4 linked regions of the Saccharomyces cerevisiae S288C genome follow. Changing the gene in region 1 together with any one later gene gives a genetic interaction. Each region holds a gene or a part of one and is shown on either strand. Other genes may lie near its edges.

The links.
Region 2: mutations in NEW1 (region 1) and ROX1 together harm fitness more than expected from each alone (negative genetic interaction), as found in Saccharomyces cerevisiae (3 studies listed by BioGRID).
Region 3: mutations in NEW1 (region 1) and SSL1 together harm fitness more than expected from each alone (negative genetic interaction), as found in Saccharomyces cerevisiae (2 studies listed by BioGRID).
Region 4: mutations in NEW1 (region 1) and AIM4 together harm fitness more than expected from each alone (negative genetic interaction), as found in Saccharomyces cerevisiae (2 studies listed by BioGRID).

What each region holds. Positions count from the first base shown.
Region 1 is NC_001148.4:119,136-126,381, forward strand, and holds NEW1 (New1p), read left to right. Parts: upstream 1-2,631; coding exon 2,632-6,222; downstream 6,223-7,246. Other genes in the region: CET1 (polynucleotide 5'-phosphatase), read left to right, coding at 1-896; ALG5 (dolichyl-phosphate beta-glucosyltransferase), read right to left, coding at 1,028-2,032; ribosome-associated Tef1p biogenesis chaperone CHP1, read left to right, coding at 6,871-7,246.
Region 2 is NC_001148.4:677,848-682,534, forward strand, and holds ROX1 (Rox1p), read left to right. Parts: upstream 1-1,845; coding exon 1,846-2,952; downstream 2,953-4,687. Other genes in the region: YPR063C (uncharacterized protein), read right to left, coding at 1-346, 433-473; YPR064W (uncharacterized protein), read left to right, coding at 1,104-1,523; NEDD8-activating protein UBA3, read left to right, coding at 3,366-4,265; ISA2 (Isa2p), read left to right, coding at 4,373-4,687. UniProt on the Saccharomyces cerevisiae protein: Transcription factor that represses the expression of HEM13, COX5B, ANB1, CYC7 or AAC3 (hypoxic function). Binds to the DNA sequence 5'-RRRTAACAAGAG-3'.
Region 3 is NC_001144.5:157,673-162,606, forward strand, and holds SSL1 (TFIIH/NER complex subunit SSL1), read left to right. Parts: upstream 1-2,376; coding exon 2,377-3,762; downstream 3,763-4,934. Other genes in the region: CMS1 (Cms1p), read right to left, coding at 1-58; THI73 (Thi73p), read right to left, coding at 262-1,833; mitogen-activated protein kinase kinase kinase SSK1, read right to left, coding at 4,083-4,934. UniProt on the Saccharomyces cerevisiae protein: Component of the general transcription and DNA repair factor IIH (TFIIH) core complex, which is involved in general and transcription-coupled nucleotide excision repair (NER) of damaged DNA and, when complexed to TFIIK, in RNA transcription by RNA polymerase II.
Region 4 is NC_001134.8:607,930-611,827, forward strand, and holds AIM4 (Aim4p), read left to right. Parts: upstream 1-2,108; coding exon 2,109-2,480; downstream 2,481-3,898. Other genes in the region: RIM2 (Rim2p), read left to right, coding at 1-856; RNA polymerase II mediator complex subunit MED8, read right to left, coding at 1,153-1,824; MSI1 (Msi1p), read right to left, coding at 2,685-3,898.

The sequences.
Region 1 (7,246 bases):
AACCTACTATCAAAGCTCTTCAAAGTATAAATGTGAAAGATCTCAAAATTGACCCATCTTTTTTAAACATTATTCCCGATGATGACTTAACAAAGTCAGTACAGGACTGGGTTTATGCTACAATATACTCAATTGCTCCTGAACTAAGATCCTTCATTGAGTTAGAAATGAAATTTGGTGTTATTATTGATGCGAAAGGCCCAGATCGTGTAAATCCACCAGTTTCTTCACAATGTGTTTTCACTGAGCTTGATGCCCATCTAACGCCTAATATTGATGCATCTTTGTTCAAAGAGTTGAGCAAATATATTCGTGGTATTAGCGAAGTCACTGAAAATACAGGTAAATTCAGTATTATTGAATCCCAGACAAGAGATTCCGTCTATAGAGTCGGACTATCCACGCAAAGACCAAGGTTTTTGAGAATGAGTACAGATATTAAGACTGGGAGGGTAGGACAATTTATAGAGAAAAGACATGTAGCCCAACTACTATTATATTCACCAAAAGATAGTTACGACGTTAAAATCTCCCTAAACTTGGAATTACCTGTACCTGACAACGATCCGCCAGAAAAATATAAATCTCAAAGCCCAATTAGTGAAAGGACGAAAGACCGTGTTAGTTACATTCATAATGATTCCTGTACCAGAATTGATATTACAAAAGTCGAAAATCATAACCAAAATTCAAAAAGTAGACAATCAGAGACCACTCACGAAGTGGAACTAGAAATCAACACGCCTGCACTGTTAAACGCCTTTGATAACATAACGAACGATAGTAAAGAATATGCATCTCTTATTAGAACGTTTCTGAATAATGGTACAATTATTAGAAGAAAGTTATCGTCTTTATCATATGAAATTTTTGAAGGTTCAAAGAAAGTCATGTAATATTTGAATCATTTCAAAAAAAAATAAGCAAATGCCCTTGAGCGAGAAATTTTTTTTGTTTACTCAAATGCTGTTATGAAAGCTTATGTAATAATAATAATAATGATAATAATAACATAAAAATAATTACTCTAACATTTCTTATTATCTCTATATATCCCTAATAAATAGGCCATTCTTATAATAACCAAGTCTTTCGCCATTTTGATACTATCAATAGCTAAAGCCATCTTAGAGCCATCAACCTCATGCCAGGAAATTGGTATCTCCTCAATTTGGATTCTTTTTCTGATGGCTAAGATCAAAATTTCAACGTCAAAGATCCAACCCTCTGTATGCAAATACGGAAAAATTTTCAATATAGCGGCTCTGTTGAACAATTTGAATCCACATTGTGTGTCTTTGATAGACCTGATGCCGAAGATGAAAACTAAGGTATGGAAACCGTACATCAAGCAGTTTCTTATCATTGATCTCTTTATGACGGCTTCGGTATTTACCATATGTGCTCTGGAACCAATTGCTACTGCTGGTTTAGTCGTTTTTAGATCTGTACTAGACGTTTCAATTTTGCTAATAGCATCTATTAGTTTTTCTACATCACTGAACTTACTAGCACCATCAGCATCGGCAAAAAGACCATACTTACCTCTAATATGTAAAAAACCTTGTCTCACTGCGCCACCTTTGCCTCTGTTTTGAGAAAACTTGATGATTCTGAATTGTTCGTAGTTCAATTTGAACTGTTCTTTACAAATTTTCAAACAGTATTGTGTGGTATTATCTGTGGAACCATCATCCACTATGACAATCTCCCATCTGGAACCATATTTTTCCTTTAAAAAGCTGATTGCGTCTGTCAACATTAGTAAAATTCTACCTGTCTCATTATAGCTTGGGATAACAACAGATAAAAATATTTCTTCGTCATCTTGGTGTTCATTCAAGTTAGGTAAGGCACGACTAACTTCATGACCTTTTTCATCAATAGCTATGTATTTGAGCTCCTCTGGATATGGCGGCCTTGGTGTATGCGAAAATAAATAGACCAATAAATACAGTGAAAGCACCAAGGCTACTAAGAGCGTAAAAAAGACAGTGTTTCTGTTCTCAATCAGGAATCTCAACGCTCTCATTTTTGTTGTGCTTTGTGTAATTTTTGGCTGCCTCTCTGTTTTTGTCCCTTTCTTACGTTATCAAAAGCACCTAATCTATCCTTACAGCATCCAATTAGATACCACTACCTTTCCACAGTGACTATGGTCCTTTGTGCCACTTTAATTGCGATAAAGCCTTGAAAATTGGCACGTTTTCTTCTTGTTTACACTTTTTTTCGAATACGCCAAATTTCGCTTTCTCATGAAAAAAATGGCATACACTGCTTCGAAAGATACAACAGAGCCATGTGCATTAATATATATAAATTAAAAGGTACTGAAGTGATAACGGTGAAAATAGGATAACTATGTACACTTGACTTTGGACTTGTTAGTTGTGACTAGTATAGAAGTTACAAGATCAAATGGAATAAACCCAAACACCACATCTAATTTTTCAATGGAAAAAGAAAAGTTTCAAGGTGGAAAAAAAATTTTCAGCAGCATCGCAATAAATGTTAAAAAATAATAATATATTGCAACCTATTTAAGATAATACATATGCGTCGATCTATAGTGCATAATTTATATCTTGTAAACTGTAAATACAACGACAATCAGTGCTAATTCAACTCAGGATGCCTCCAAAGAAGTTTAAGGATCTAAACTCTTTCCTTGACGACCAACCAAAGGACCCAAATCTAGTCGCTTCTCCCTTCGGTGGTTATTTTAAAAACCCTGCTGCTGATGCCGGTAGTAATAACGCTTCCAAAAAAAGTAGCTACCAACAACAGCGTAATTGGAAACAGGGGGGCAACTACCAACAAGGTGGTTACCAATCGTATAACAGTAATTACAACAATTACAACAACTACAACAACTACAACAATTATAACAACTACAATAACTATAATAAATACAATGGCCAGGGCTATCAAAAATCTACTTACAAACAATCGGCTGTGACGCCCAACCAAAGTGGAACTCCAACTCCATCTGCTTCTACTACATCTTTGACCTCTTTGAATGAAAAGCTGTCGAACTTAGAGTTAACACCCATCTCTCAATTTTTGTCAAAGATACCTGAATGTCAAAGTATCACTGATTGCAAAAATCAAATCAAACTAATCATTGAAGAATTTGGCAAAGAAGGTAACAGTACGGGTGAGAAAATTGAAGAGTGGAAAATCGTCGATGTTCTATCTAAATTCATCAAACCTAAGAATCCATCATTAGTTAGAGAATCTGCCATGCTAATAATTTCCAACATTGCTCAATTTTTCAGTGGAAAGCCACCACAGGAAGCATACTTGCTACCATTCTTCAATGTCGCACTTGACTGTATTTCAGATAAAGAGAATACAGTCAAACGTGCCGCGCAACATGCCATTGATTCTTTGTTGAATTGCTTTCCAATGGAGGCTTTAACCTGTTTTGTACTGCCTACGATTTTGGATTACTTATCATCTGGTGCCAAATGGCAAGCTAAAATGGCCGCTCTAAGCGTTGTAGATAGAATAAGAGAAGATTCGGCGAACGATTTATTGGAACTTACTTTCAAAGATGCAGTTCCAGTTTTAACCGATGTAGCAACTGATTTCAAACCTGAATTGGCCAAACAAGGTTACAAAACTTTATTGGACTACGTTTCTATTTTGGATAACTTAGATTTGTCTCCTCGTTATAAATTGATCGTGGACACCCTGCAAGATCCATCTAAGGTTCCTGAATCTGTAAAATCGTTATCCAGTGTTACATTTGTCGCTGAAGTTACGGAACCTTCACTATCTTTGTTAGTTCCTATTCTAAACAGATCTTTAAACCTATCGTCATCATCTCAAGAGCAATTAAGACAAACCGTTATTGTCGTGGAGAATTTGACAAGATTGGTGAATAATCGTAATGAAATTGAAAGCTTCATCCCTCTACTACTACCCGGTATCCAAAAGGTTGTTGATACTGCGTCCTTACCTGAAGTTCGTGAATTGGCTGAAAAGGCCCTTAACGTTCTAAAAGAAGATGACGAAGCTGATAAGGAAAACAAATTCTCAGGCAGACTGACTTTAGAAGAAGGTAGGGATTTCTTACTTGATCACCTCAAGGACATTAAAGCTGATGATTCCTGTTTTGTCAAGCCTTACATGAATGACGAAACTGTTATCAAGTATATGAGCAAGATTTTGACCGTGGATTCTAATGTGAACGACTGGAAAAGACTTGAAGATTTTTTGACCGCCGTTTTTGGTGGTTCAGATTCACAAAGAGAATTTGTCAAACAAGACTTTATCCATAACTTGAGAGCTTTATTCTACCAAGAAAAGGAAAGGGCAGATGAGGACGAAGGTATTGAGATTGTCAACACTGATTTCTCCTTAGCTTATGGTTCAAGAATGCTTTTGAACAAAACAAATCTTCGTCTCCTAAAGGGTCATCGTTACGGTTTGTGTGGTAGAAATGGTGCTGGTAAGTCTACTTTAATGAGAGCAATTGCTAATGGTCAATTGGATGGTTTTCCTGACAAGGATACATTACGCACCTGTTTCGTCGAACATAAATTGCAAGGTGAAGAAGGTGATTTAGACTTGGTTTCCTTCATTGCTTTAGATGAAGAACTGCAATCTACTTCTCGTGAGGAAATTGCAGCCGCTTTAGAATCTGTCGGTTTTGATGAAGAGAGAAGAGCACAAACTGTTGGATCTTTATCTGGTGGTTGGAAAATGAAGTTGGAATTGGCAAGAGCTATGTTACAAAAAGCTGATATTTTATTGCTGGATGAACCTACCAATCATTTAGATGTTTCGAACGTTAAATGGTTAGAAGAATACTTACTGGAACATACTGATATTACTTCATTGATTGTTTCGCATGACTCTGGTTTCTTAGATACAGTCTGTACTGACATCATCCATTATGAAAACAAGAAATTGGCTTACTACAAAGGTAACTTGGCAGCATTTGTTGAGCAGAAACCTGAAGCTAAATCTTACTATACCTTAACAGATTCTAATGCTCAAATGCGTTTCCCACCCCCAGGTATTTTAACAGGTGTTAAGTCTAACACTAGAGCCGTCGCTAAAATGACTGATGTAACTTTCTCTTATCCAGGTGCCCAAAAGCCTTCCTTAAGCCATGTCTCCTGTTCATTGTCTCTGTCTTCTCGTGTGGCTTGTTTAGGTCCTAACGGTGCTGGTAAATCCACTTTGATCAAGCTATTAACTGGTGAATTGGTTCCAAATGAAGGTAAAGTGGAAAAACATCCAAATTTACGTATTGGTTATATTGCTCAGCATGCATTGCAACACGTCAATGAACATAAGGAAAAGACGGCAAACCAATATTTGCAATGGCGTTATCAATTCGGTGACGACCGTGAAGTCTTATTGAAGGAATCCAGAAAAATATCCGAAGATGAAAAGGAAATGATGACAAAGGAAATCGACATTGATGACGGTAGAGGTAAGAGAGCCATTGAAGCTATTGTAGGTAGACAAAAGTTGAAAAAATCTTTCCAATATGAGGTCAAATGGAAATACTGGAAACCAAAATACAACTCCTGGGTTCCAAAAGATGTTTTGGTCGAGCATGGCTTTGAAAAATTGGTTCAAAAATTCGACGATCACGAAGCCTCCAGAGAAGGGTTGGGTTACCGTGAATTAATTCCTTCAGTTATCACCAAACATTTTGAAGACGTTGGTCTTGATTCTGAAATTGCTAACCATACTCCATTAGGTTCTTTATCTGGTGGTCAATTAGTTAAAGTCGTTATTGCCGGTGCTATGTGGAACAACCCTCATTTACTTGTTTTGGATGAACCTACCAACTATTTGGACAGAGACTCTCTTGGTGCTTTGGCCGTTGCTATTCGTGACTGGAGTGGTGGTGTCGTTATGATTTCGCATAATAACGAATTTGTTGGTGCTTTATGTCCTGAACAATGGATTGTGGAGAACGGTAAAATGGTTCAAAAGGGCTCTGCACAAGTTGACCAATCCAAATTCGAAGATGGTGGTAATGCTGATGCCGTTGGTCTAAAGGCCTCCAACTTGGCCAAGCCATCTGTAGATGACGATGATTCTCCAGCTAACATCAAGGTCAAGCAAAGAAAGAAGAGATTGACAAGAAATGAAAAGAAGCTGCAAGCCGAACGTCGTCGTCTACGTTACATTGAGTGGTTGTCATCGCCAAAAGGTACACCAAAACCAGTTGATACTGACGATGAAGAAGATTGAAAGCCTACTGGCTAGTGTTTTATCTTCGCTAACTTCGTTTGTTTCACTCCATCTTTTTTCTTTAATTCACTCCTCAAATGGAGTTTACTACGTTGATAGAATTTAGGACAAGCATATGACGCTCTCCTTCCTTTTTTGTTTTCTAGGTTAATTCATTTTTCATACAGAGTAGTTAATATTGGTTCTTTTCATATATGTACGGTACGCAGATTAATTATGTAAACTTAAACTTAAGGGATCCTTTTTGATGCTAACAATTGTCGATGTTGAACTACAAATTTATGTAAGAGGTCGTTGTTAAGGATTATTATTTTAAAAATACACGAAGATTGATTATTATTTCTTACATGAGGTTATGAATCGTGCTCCAAAAGTATACCAAAAATAACTCCTGAACTGCTAGGCACAGTTTGCGATAATTTAAAGGGGTTAAATACACTTTTACTACTGGCTTTCACCTTATAAATCCCTCATTAAACTAAAGATGAATGAACATTGTTGAAGAAATTGTCCGGGTAAGAGGTTGTACTAGGGAGTGATGAACATCCATAAATTCTTCGACTAGCAGAAGTAATGATAATTTTCACCCGTTAAAGCTACATCTGGTTAGATGGACTAGAAGAACCACGACGAAACAATCATATAACAATGTCTACTTTTAATGCAGAAACCGCTGATAACTTGGAAGATATCGAGAAACAATTCGCTGTTGTTGCTGTTGAACAAGCGGAAACATATTGGAAACTATTAACAAGTGTTCCCGGTTCCAAGTTACGTTTGACTAAGTTTGATGACGAAATATACGAGAATTTTATGGAGAGATTCCCAGAATACAAAGATGTTGAAAGGGTCAAAAAGTTTACGGAGGAAGAATTAAAAACAAAAGAAGCCAAGGAAAGATGGAGAAAGTTCTTCACAATTTTTGAGAAAAAAATCGAAGACTATAACTTTGGTACTTTGTTGAGGACAGACGCTTCAGCCGAGTATGGTCAATTTACTACTTGTTTTGTCGTGAGACTACAAT
Region 2 (4,687 bases), 560 kb from region 1:
TGTCTCAATTGTCGTTTCAGTATTACCTTTAGAGCCGCTAGACGATGGTTGAGCTATTTGTTGAGGGAAAACTAAGTTCATGTAACACACGCATAACCCGATTAAACTCATGAATAGCTTGATTGCAGGAGGCTGGTCCATTGGAGATGGTGCCTTATTTTCCTTATAGGCAACGATGATGTCTTCGTCGGTGTTCAGGTAGTAGTGTACACTCTGAATCAGGGAGAACCAGGCAATGAACTTGTTCCTCAAGAAAATAGCGGCCATAGGCATGGATTGGTTAACCACACCAGATATGCTTGGTGTGGCAGAATATAGTCCTTTTGGTGGCGCAATTTTCTTGTACCTGTGGTAGAAAGGGAGCGGTTGAACTGTTAGTATATATTGGCAATATCAGCAAATTTGAAAGAAAATTGTCGGTGAAAAACATACGAAACACAAAGGTCGGGCCTTGCAACGTTATTCAAAGTCATTGTTTAGTTGAGGAGGTAGCAGCGGAGTATATGTATTCCTTTTTTTTGCCTATGGATGTTGTACCATGCCCATTCTGCTCAAGCTTTTGTTAAAATTATTTTTCAGTATTTTTTCTTCCATGTTGCGCGTTACGAGAACAGAAGCGACAGATAACCGCAATCATACAACTAGCGCTACTGCGGGGTGTAAAAAGCACAAGAACTAAGCCAAGATCACAACAGTTATCGATAAAATAGCAGTGTTTGCATGGCCATTGAGAAGGACAACATTGGCGTGCGCGCCAATGTTGTCTCACCATGTAGCTCCAAACGAGTTGTAAGAGACGGACCGCTCACGCTTCCGAAGCGGTCAGAAAACGCTTCCCAGTATGCAGTTGACCTACATTCAACCTGCAAATATTGCTTTGCTTCAAGAAATGATTACACAGACGTCTATTTTCTTCTACATAATGCACGAAACTTGGGCATTTAGTCATGTAGCCGCCTAGCGAGCCTGGGTGCCGTCCTATCTCCTTTGTTCGTGCAAAGAGACAGGAACACACACTGCGTTCTCTTGCGGCCGGTCTGGCGGACTCAGGGGTGCGGCGTTTGCTTAACCGGAGGGAATAATAAAATCGGGGTGACGCAAGTATGAAGTCATGTGTGCTTAGCAATTACGTAGAGGGATTAGAAATAATAGTGTGCGGTTATCGGAACCGGCTCTTGTTCCCGTTTAGAGCAACCCAGGTGCAGGCGTACTTTAAAGTATTTTCTTTCTTTTTTTTCCTGCTACTTACGCTAGGAGCTGCCGCAGCTGCAAAGCCGACGTCGGAGAGGCAGGTGATCTTCGGCTCGGCCGACAAATCCCCTGGATATCATTGGCCTGTCGAGGTATCGGCCGCGTGGAACTACCGGGAATTACTATGCAAAACAATTGGAAATCTGGTAGGAAAACCTTGTTCTAGAACTTGGCGATTGCTGACAAAGAAGAAAAGGGCCTATTGTTGCTGCCTCTTTTGTTGTTCTTCCTCGTATTGTCTTGCCGGTGTTCTTTGTGTCTTTTGTGTGTAGGTTCTTACTATTATAGTGCTCTTTGCTATTATATTTTCTTCGTTTTCACTTTGCGTAATGTAACGGTCTTAAACAAAGTTTTTTTTTTTTCGCTCTTGCATTTTCCTTTTCTGCTCTATCTTATTTGCTAATTGTAGTTTCAGAAGTTTTACTTAAATATAGCACTATTTTCCAGTTTTAATGTTTCTTCTCATTGCTTTCTTTTATAATTTTCGCATATAATTATACATTTACGGTGTCTTAACTCTCCCTCTTCACCCCTCATTATTCCAGAAAATACTAATACTTCTTCACACAAAAGAACGCAGTTAGACAATCAACAATGAATCCTAAATCCTCTACACCTAAGATTCCAAGACCCAAGAACGCATTTATTCTGTTCAGACAGCACTACCACAGGATCTTAATAGACGAATGGACCGCTCAAGGTGTGGAAATACCCCATAATTCAAACATTTCTAAAATTATTGGTACGAAGTGGAAGGGCTTACAACCGGAAGATAAGGCACACTGGGAAAATCTAGCGGAGAAGGAGAAACTAGAACATGAAAGGAAGTATCCTGAATACAAATACAAGCCGGTAAGAAAGTCTAAGAAGAAGCAACTACTTTTGAAGGAAATCGAGCAACAGCAGCAGCAACAACAGAAAGAACAGCAGCAGCAGAAACAGTCACAACCGCAATTACAACAGCCCTTTAACAACAATATAGTTCTTATGAAAAGAGCACATTCTCTTTCACCATCTTCCTCGGTGTCAAGCTCGAACAGCTATCAGTTCCAATTGAACAATGATCTTAAGAGGTTGCCTATTCCTTCTGTTAATACTTCTAACTATATGGTCTCCAGATCTTTAAGTGGACTACCTTTGACGCATGATAAGACGGCAAGAGACCTACCACAGCTGTCATCTCAACTAAATTCTATTCCATATTACTCAGCTCCACACGACCCTTCAACGAGACATCATTACCTCAACGTCGCTCAAGCTCAACCAAGGGCTAACTCGACCCCTCAATTGCCCTTTATTTCATCCATTATCAACAACAGCAGTCAAACACCGGTAACTACAACTACCACATCCACAACAACTGCGACATCTTCTCCTGGGAAATTCTCCTCTTCTCCGAACTCCTCTGTACTGGAGAACAACAGATTAAACAGTATCAACAATTCAAATCAATATTTACCTCCCCCTCTATTACCTTCTCTGCAAGATTTTCAACTGGATCAGTACCAGCAGCTAAAGCAGATGGGACCAACTTATATTGTCAAACCACTGTCTCACACCAGGAACAATCTATTGTCCACAACTACCCCTACGCATCATCACATTCCTCATATACCAAACCAAAACATTCCTCTACATCAAATTATAAACTCAAGCAACACTGAGGTCACCGCTAAAACTAGCCTAGTTTCTCCGAAATGATTTTTTTTTTCCATTTCTTCTTTCCGTTATATTATATTATACTATATTCCCTTTAACTAAAAATTTATGCATTTGGCTCCTGTTTAATAAAAGTTTAAATCGCCTCAAAAGAACAATTGAAAAATATGTAAAATAACAGCAAATAAAAGTCAAAATTAAAACAAAGTACCCAGAGACAAAAAAGAAAGAAAAGAAAAAAGAAACAGTCTACAAATTCTATTTGAATATATAAAATTATATTCTCAATTTTCACGTATATATTCACCTCACAAATAATATCATTCCTTTAAAAAAAAATATGTATTATTGTATAATGTTTCAGCATAGTCGTTTTTTAAGCCCTTTTTTTTAAACTTAAAAAACAAATCAATGAGATATTGTATACCTATATTATCGATAATAAAGCGACGAGGATGGACTGCAAGATATTGGTGTTAGGCGCAGGTGGTCTAGGATGCGAAATCCTGAAGAATTTGACAATGTTAAGCTTTGTTAAACAGGTTCATATTGTAGATATAGACACAATCGAGCTAACCAACCTTAATAGACAATTTCTTTTTTGTGATAAGGACATAGGCAAACCGAAAGCTCAAGTGGCAGCCCAGTATGTAAACACGCGGTTCCCTCAATTGGAAGTTGTGGCGCACGTACAGGACCTGACCACTTTGCCCCCGAGCTTTTACAAAGACTTCCAGTTCATAATCTCGGGGCTGGACGCCATTGAACCTCGTCGCTTCATCAATGAGACTCTCGTGAAGCTTACCTTGGAGTCCAATTATGAAATTTGCATCCCGTTCATAGATGGTGGAACAGAGGGGCTCAAGGGACATGTAAAAACAATCATTCCAGGCATCACTGCATGCTGGGAGTGCTCCATTGATACCTTGCCCTCGCAGCAGGATACTGTGCCAATGTGTACAATCGCCAACAATCCTCGCTGCATTGAGCATGTTGTGGAGTATGTCTCAACTATACAATACCCTGATTTAAATATTGAGTCTACGGCGGATATGGAATTTCTGCTGGAGAAGTGCTGCGAAAGGGCTGCCCAATTTAGCATCTCAACAGAAAAATTATCAACAAGTTTTATCCTGGGTATAATAAAGAGTATCATACCTAGTGTAAGCACTACGAATGCGATGGTTGCAGCGACATGCTGTACGCAGATGGTTAAGATTTATAATGATTTAATCGACCTGGAAAACGGCAATAATTTCACTTTGATTAACTGCTCAGAAGGGTGTTTTATGTACAGTTTCAAGTTCGAGCGGTTACCCGACTGTACTGTTTGTTCAAATTCCAATTCCAACTAGTATTACTAATGAATAATACCATCCGCCGGTGTCACTTGTTTAAACATCTTGCAAGTAAGTCGAGATCCTAGAGAGCCTTGTACATGTGATTGCACAGTAAAGAAGGTATGCAGGCTAAATTATTGTTTACCAGACTAAACTTTAGACGTCCCTCCACAACTTTACGCCAGTTTCCCCTAACATGTTTTTTATTTCATAGCAAAGCATTTTACTCGGATCTGGTCACTAAGGAGCCGTTGATCACACCGAAAAGAATAATAAATAAGACGCCTGGGTTAAACTTATCTATTTCTGAGAGGGCTTCCAACAGACTAGCTGAGATCTACCGCAATAGTAAGGAAAATTTAAGAATTAGTGTGGAAAGTGGTGGATGTCACGGTTTCCAGTACAATCTAACTCTAGAACCCGCTACCAAGCCAGAT
Region 3 (4,934 bases), on another chromosome or scaffold:
CATGTTCGGCATCAAAATCATAGGCGAGTCCATCATCTAAATCATCTGGATTAGACATTTTCAGCTCAATTGTCCTGACGATATGTTTAGAAGTTAGTAGCGGGGATCAAATTTCGACTTTCATTGCCTCATCCATGGTCATCTCAAAAATTTTCTCTTCAATTTTTTGGTAAATACCAAGTGCAATGAATGTTTGGGTGTCTTTGAATATTGAATATTACAGACTAAAAATATTATATATTGTAAATTAAAAGTTGATTATTAGTAAATGTACCTGAAATTTCTGTTTTCGATATCAGTCAAGTCCAAAAATTGGTACTTCTTCCTTTCTTGACCTTCTTGTTCCTTATCACGCTTTTCGTTCTCCTTCTTGCAAATGTAGCCAATGTATAATTGTAGGGGAACACAAACACACTGAGTGACCAATAAGGCAATCTTTGCTGGTATGTAACGTGGAGCAGAGTATGCCCTAAACATCTGTGGAGCAATAATACAGGAGACATTGTATACAATCATTGTAATAGCATTTCTAAAAACTCTTTTGGTGTAACCGGAGGTGTTGCATGAATTCCAGATGTAAATATTGGTAATGACACAGGAACCACTGTAAAGCAAGTACAGAGAAAATAAGTTACCGATCTTATGGGATAAGGGTAAACTGATAAGAACGATACAACCTATAATAGCTGGAATATACATAGATGTGGTTATGAGTGTGATATGACCCCAGCGGGACAACATTTGAGTTGTTATAAGAATAATCATAGCCGTAATGGCACCAATAGGCAACTGCAGTAATGCTGTTTCGTACTTGTCGAAACCAAAAGTACCAGTGATGGTCACTGAAAATGTACCAATGGCACCAGTAGAAATTTGAGAACATGCAGTTAATAAAAGCATCGGCCAAGTAAACTTATCATGAAGGAATAGTTCTTTAACTTGCTGCTTCTTAAACTTCTTTGTTTCCAGGCCAGTTTGGTTAGCTCTGATATGCTCAACAACTTGAATTTTTTCCTCTTTGTTTAGGAACCAAGCATTGGTGACGTTATCTGGAAGGTATAAGAATGTTAGAACACCAAACGCAACTGTAACCAGACCAACGACCAAAAACATTATTTGCCAAGAGGTGAAAGCGGTACCATGATAATGTAAAAAGCCAAAAGAAATTAACCCGCCCACAATATAACCTGTACCAGCCTGTGTGGCCCAGAATCCAATTCTTGCACTCTGTTCAGATTTAGTATAGTACATACCACTAATAGCGATACAACCAACTGCACTCGAGGATTCAAAGAGACCTAGGAGAGTACGAACGACCATCAACGAGGCGTACGTCTTACAAGCAGCATGGCAAGCCAACACGATACCCCAGACGGTAATAAAAGTACCTAGGATTTTGGAAATGGGGAATTTTTGAATTAAGTAAGTGACCACAGGTTCCATGAAAATGTAAGCAGCAGAAAAGATAGTACCCAAATTAGAAAATTCGTTACCTTTCAAATGATCTTTGATACCCATAGATGCAGCGTAGTTCAGCAGAGCCTTATCCAAAAACATCAGAAGATATGTACAGCATAAAAAGGGCAGGATGAAGAGGTCAACTTTTCTCAGGACCTTAGGAGATAATTCATGGGAACCATAGAAGTTGGCTTCTTCGCCTGCTACAACATCGTCTTCATTAGCCGTGGAGCTTTCGTCGAGACCGTTCTGTTTCAGGAATCTTAAAGCAACGTCCGCATCGTCTACATTAATGCTCGAGGTACTTACGGAACAACTATCAGCGTTAGCTGCCTTCTTCTCCACGTCCATGGATCGTTGTGACATGTTTTTCATTGTATTGATTTGCTGACACTCTCACTACTTCTCAGCAACAACAAAGTAAACTTTAATCTATCATACTTTGAACTATCTTATATACGTGTATATATGCACCCGCTGAGATGCTCATCGAGATTGCTCATCACCTCTGAAAAGGCTGTCTGTCACCACCATGTTTTCCGCCGGACCAAATGACAGTTCCTTAAGGGAAACTCAAAGAGACTATATTAACTAAGGAGGATCAACCAGATATGCAAAAAAAACAAATAGTTATGACGGCACTCGAACCAACCAAACACCACCCTATAATTAATGTTGATAATGATAGCGACTCGAAATTTGCCAATAAAACCTGTCTATTACGCGTCATCTACTTGAGAGTAATATACTGGAAGTTCGAGATACTCCGCACAGGGTCTGGGTGGTAGGTTTCTTTGCTATTGTATAGTTTTTCAAGATACGTAAAAGGTCTTCATCTTATCTTATATAGATGCAGGTGATTACTAGTGGGGCAAGTCGGCAGCTAATTGCGTGTGTGCGGAAGGATTGTGCAGTAGAATGGCTCCTGTAGTTATTTCAGAATCTGAAGAGGATGAGGATAGAGTTGCCATTACTAGAAGAACTAAGAGACAAGTTCATTTTGATGGCGAGGGAGATGATCGTGTAGACCAACAGCAACAGCAGCACAGTTCAAGCCACAGGGATAGGGATAAACATGTGCAGCGTAAGAAGAAGAAAAGGCTCTCGAATAGAAACCTGCAAGGTTCAAATGGTGGGTACGCTTGGGAGGATGAGATCAAGAGAAGTTGGGATTTGGTGAAAGTGGACGATGAAGGGGATATGGCATCTCTTGTGGCTAGCATAGTCGAGGCCAGAAAGAAACGTACTGCTAAGAAAAACATAACGCCATACCAAAGAGGTATTATCAGAAGTTTAATATTAACACTAGATTGTAGTGAAGCTATGTTGGAAAAGGATTTGAGACCAAACAGGCATGCCATGATTATCCAGTACGCCATAGATTTTGTCCATGAATTTTTCGACCAAAATCCGATATCTCAAATGGGTATTATCATAATGAGAAACGGTTTGGCACAACTGGTCAGCCAAGTTAGCGGAAACCCGCAGGATCACATTGATGCGTTGAAATCCATCAGGAAACAAGAACCGAAAGGAAACCCTTCATTGCAAAATGCATTGGAAATGGCAAGAGGCCTTTTATTGCCTGTTCCTGCGCATTGTACAAGGGAAGTACTGATTGTATTTGGTAGTCTTTCCACAACTGATCCTGGAGATATTCACCAAACTATCGATTCGTTAGTTTCTGAGAAAATTAGAGTGAAGGTTTTGGGGTTATCAGCTCAAGTGGCCATATGTAAAGAATTATGCAAGGCAACGAATTATGGTGATGAATCCTTCTATAAAATTTTACTCGATGAAACTCACTTAAAGGAGCTATTTAACGAGGCTGTTACCCCTTTACCCGTTAACAAAATTAATAAGGGTTTCACACTCGTAAAGATGGGGTTTCCGACAAGGATATTCGAAGATACTCCAACTTTTTGTTCGTGCCATTCCAAGTTAGTTTACGGCGGATACTTCTGTCCCAATTGTCATAGTAAAGTTTGTTCATTGCCCACAGTCTGTCCATGTTGTGACTTGATGCTAATCCTTTCTACCCACCTGGCCAGATCATATCACCATCTGATGCCGTTAAAAACATTTGCAGAAGTACCTACAACAGAAAAATTTCGATCAGAAGACTGCTTTAGTTGCCAGTCAAGATTTCCCATACTGAAAAACCATAAAAATGGTAAACTACTGACAAGTTCTCGCTATCGTTGTGAAGATTGTAAACAAGAATTTTGTGTTGACTGCGATGTGTTCATCCATGAAATCCTTCATAACTGCCCAGGCTGTGAATCCAAGCCCGTAATAACTTAACGAAAATCTGTCAGCGTATAACACGATCACTCTTCCATCATATAACAAATCCAAGTAGTAGAGAACGAAATAGTTTTTGATGGACATATAACTACATAATTATTACAAAAATAACCTCATTTAATGTCCTATTGTTTATTACGAGAAAATCTTAATAGCACTTACGGCATTAAGAATATTTATTACTATTTTCAATTTATCAGGCACTTATTCAACTAAAAAAAAAAAAAAAATTCTTTGTTTTACAATAATATTAATAATTATTTTGAATAAATATCGTTACATTCTATCATAATGTCCTCTACACGGTACAACCAAACTCACAATTCTATTTGAGTGGGCGAGAGGTTTGAATTTTTTCTTACTGGGCTGTGTGTAGGGGTCATAGATGTCGCTTGTTTGAATGAGTGAGGGTTGGAAGGTGCAATAGGTTTCTGTGGAGATTTAACCAAAACACTGTCGGTCATCCGGCTTTCTCCCTGCTTCCAGCTGTCAAAATCAATCAAGGCTTGCATACATCCCCACTCTGTAATTTTCTTACTAAGCCAGTGTAAATTCACTGGTTTAGTCAGGTAGTCGTTACAACCAGAAAGAAGTGCTTTTCTTTTATCCATCTGAGAGTTAGATGCGGTCAATGCTACAATAATCACGGGCGCCTGAGAGAATCTCTTTGAAGTACCTTTTTCAAGATTGGAGTGTGAGTTATTGAGACTTTTTTGAATGCCAATGCCATTTTGTTTTTCGAAGTCCCTAATCTGCTTGGCAGCTTCTATACCAGACAAGACAGGCAGCTGTAAATCCATAAATATTAAATGAAGACCGCCTTCCTTCCAAATATTAACAGCTTCTTGACCATTTTTAGCCAGTTTATATGAGATTTTGTGTTTCCTCAGAAAGGAACCTAAGATAGCTTGGTTGATGACGTTGTCTTCAACTATTAAAACATTAATTTTGGGGAAAACTTTTTCACTTGTGGTGGTAAAAAGGTTTGGTAAAGGATCTGGTGGAGAGGAAACAGCAAAAGGTGCGTTATAAAGCGAGTTTGAGTAATGCGGCGTTTGACTACTTGTTAATATTGGTGATGCGGGCGTAACGTCTTCTTTTCTTCTTTGTACTTCCGACATGGGTTGCGTTATGCCTATACCAGCTTCATTAAGTGATCCGCTTTCTTG
Region 4 (3,898 bases), on another chromosome or scaffold:
TGTTAATATCAGTAAAGGATCTACTCGTCCAAAGAGTATTAATTATGTCATTCAAGCAGGAACCCATTTCAAGGAAACACTGGGAATCATAGGCAATGTGTACAAACAAGAGGGTTTTAGAAGCTTGTTTAAGGGTTTGGGCCCCAATTTAGTCGGGGTTATTCCAGCAAGAAGTATTAATTTTTTTACCTATGGAACTACTAAAGATATGTATGCTAAAGCGTTCAATAATGGCCAAGAAACACCTATGATTCATCTGATGGCTGCTGCAACCGCAGGTTGGGCAACGGCGACGGCAACCAATCCTATTTGGTTGATTAAAACAAGAGTACAGCTTGATAAAGCTGGGAAAACATCGGTCCGACAGTACAAGAACTCTTGGGATTGCTTAAAAAGTGTTATAAGAAATGAGGGTTTCACTGGCTTGTACAAAGGGTTGAGTGCCTCTTATTTGGGTTCTGTTGAAGGTATACTTCAATGGCTATTATATGAACAAATGAAGAGGTTAATAAAGGAAAGGTCTATTGAGAAATTTGGATATCAAGCCGAAGGTACAAAAAGCACATCAGAGAAAGTCAAGGAGTGGTGTCAAAGATCAGGAAGCGCTGGTCTTGCAAAATTTGTGGCTAGTATAGCAACATATCCGCACGAAGTTGTCAGGACGAGATTGAGACAAACGCCCAAGGAAAATGGTAAACGAAAGTATACAGGTTTAGTACAAAGTTTCAAAGTTATAATTAAAGAAGAGGGACTCTTTTCAATGTATAGTGGGTTGACCCCGCATTTGATGAGAACAGTTCCGAACAGTATAATTATGTTTGGTACATGGGAAATTGTTATAAGGCTACTATCGTAGCCTTGAAATCTAAAAAACTCTAAATTCACTTTAGGGCCAAGACATACTCTAACAAAAAAGTATGAAAAAAGTGCATTTTGTAAGGATATAAAGCCTGTCAAAGTTTATAGAAAGCTAACCTACTAAGGTTTGGACCCCTTCGTTTCTTCTCCTTTACTTTGCATTATTTATCGTAACATATCAATGATCCTTATTTACTTCATTCAGTAAATTGGTCCTTTTATACTTGTAAATATTTTTACCAGGTCACTAGTAACAATAAAATGTTTTAAAATATCAGTAGCGTGAAGTAAAATTCAATTACTAGATGATGTTGAAGTAGATCCCGTAATAATGGGCTTTTCCCCTGTGAAGGTGAACTTTAGAACATCATCCACATTGAAAGGTTTCGAAGGTTTGCTATCTCGTACTAGAAGTGAAGCGTGTTCTTCGCTTAGGGATTCTTCATTTTTGAAATCGTGCTTTCCATATTCGTTTCTAAACGTAGTGCGCGCCCAATTCGTTATTTCTCTGTCCTGTTGCAGCAGCTTTTCTATTTCTTCATCCTTTAGCAAGGCTGTAGTTACTCCAGATGTTTCCCTAACATATTTCATCCATTCGTCCACTTCAGGAATATTCTTCTTCCTCAAAAGGGTAGTGACCAAACTTTCATGAGAGGTGGTTGGGAATTTAGGCAAAGGGTAAACCACTGTAGAGTCTAAAGTTTCTTGGAAATGTTGTAGAGTGGAGGTTACAGAAACGAGCTGGGATAATGTGACATTCAGTTGTGATTGGAGTGTATACCATTGTGGCAGTTCGGCTTTGGACATTTCGTCTCTGATTCTCCTCAATGAATGAGTTAATTGAGCCAAACGCATGCGCACGGCATCTAAAGCCTGGCCAGGTACACCATTGAAATCAAAACTAACATCTTCTTGGAGGGAGCCTTGATTGCCCTCTGGTACCAGTGATGCAGTAGATTGTGACATATTCCACGTTGCTTTATGTTTTTCTTTTGTTCTTCTTGCTCGGGGTTCTCTTATATCGATGAAATATTTCAATATTAAAATCCTTAACTTTGACGAAAAGGCAATTTTTGTATATTGAGTTTCCTTACTTTTTTGAACAGAACGTACTTTTAGACACTTTGCAAAGGCCTTCAGCAAATTTTTTTGATTATTTTCAAATATCAAGGAAATATATTACCTTCAAAGTCATCCAATCCTTTTAGTTCTCGCATTCCATCATTTTATACTATATACGTTTGAGCTTAATGGATCAAAAGAAGGACCCAAGTAATAACTTAACAGAAAGAAGGGTTTCCAAGGTCCAACGCCCAAATAAGAAAAAGGTACGAAATCAAGTTGAATCACTTTCTAGAAACCTAGAGAGAAATAAAGAGGGACAGCTTCTGCAGACTGTATCAAAAGGTCATTTAGAAGCTGATTCTGGACACTCACTGGGTCGTGAAAAAGAGAACGGTGAACTCGGTATAAGAAGTATATTTTACGATAAAGACTGGAATCCAAGAGGCACTGCACCATCACATTACAGAAATATACCTTATAATCCTGCCACTTTCAAAAGGCGAACTGAAGTTCAAGCCAGACTGGGAAACCTCGAGAATATCAAAATACCAAAGTGAAAGTTCAAAGGTAATAAATGAGCAACCACTTTCTTCGAAATACAATATTGAAATCAGCATGAAGTCTGAGCGTAGTGTTTATTGTAGCAAGTCTTGAGCATATTTTATAAACTCTATTTATGTTTGTATATTCGTCTATCAAATGGTTGAATATGTAATAGGGACAGGAGCCATTAGCATGCCTGGCTTCAAGGAACGTTTAGGTCACGAATGTCCAACAAGGTTTCCTGCAGGTTTCCATATGTGAACTGAATTATCATTTGCCACACTGCACATTAACCAAGGGTCATGAGCGTCCCACGAAATGTCGTTCACACCGAGCATATGACCACCATGGGTAAATATAGTTTCTTCGCAGGAGGTATCCCATAGCTTGACTAACCCATCTTCTTGGCCAGCCGTTGCCAATACAGTATCGAAATTTGGACTCCATTCTAAAGTTGAAACGGAAGTACCGTGCTCCATGGTAGCGATTGGGCTTTTGTTCATGTTTCTAATATCCCATAAATTTAGCCTCCCATTTGAATCTGCAGATGCTAGAATTAAAGAGTTCTTATAGTTAAATCTACAGGAGTTTACTCCACCATCGTGTTTTTCACGGTTACTCTGGAGCTTCTCTTTCTTAGTCCTCAGATCTAATAGGGAGACCGCATTTCCTTCAGTACAAGCAGCAAAGAGGGAATCGTGTGTTGGCATCCAAGTTACATCATTCACCGCTGTTCCGTCGCTGTTTATTGACACTAAGGGTAAATCTATTATAGGGTTCTCATGCGAATATTGTTTAATGTCCCAAACTTGAACTTGGCCGTTGGAGTGAGAAGAAAGTAAAAGGGCCTCCTGCTGCAAGTTCCAGGCTAAAGAAGTCGCCTCATTTATATCTGCCGAAGAAGTATCCATTGCCTCCACGTCTTGAATAACACCATGTGAACCAAACAGCTTTGTCTCAAAGGGATGTGAAATTTTGGACTGTCTTATTCTAGTAGAGCCGTGTTTTGTTCTATCGAATATGTAGATTGCACCATCTGAAGAGGCGCCGGCTATAATATCTGGATTTTGAGGCAAATATCTTGCCCTATTGCATTCCCCGTTTGGGAAGAAAATACTGATGTCATTTACTAAGTGTTTGGAGGGAAACCTTGTCGAGTTCTCCGGTTTGAATTCCATTTCGTCCATGTCGAAATTATTTAAAGATGACCATTTTATATGACCCAACGTGGATATTTTGCTAATATATATGGTCTCATCTTCAGGTTTTTGGGAAGATGTAAATGAGGATAACAAGATGCGATGCTCATCCGAAGTGGTATCTAAATCAGGAAAGAACTGGCACGTTAAGGACGGCCACTTTGTTGAATTCGTGTTTAGGTAATCATAAAGTAGTTTAGTGTTTTTCTTCCAGTGCGAGTATCTTTCTTGCA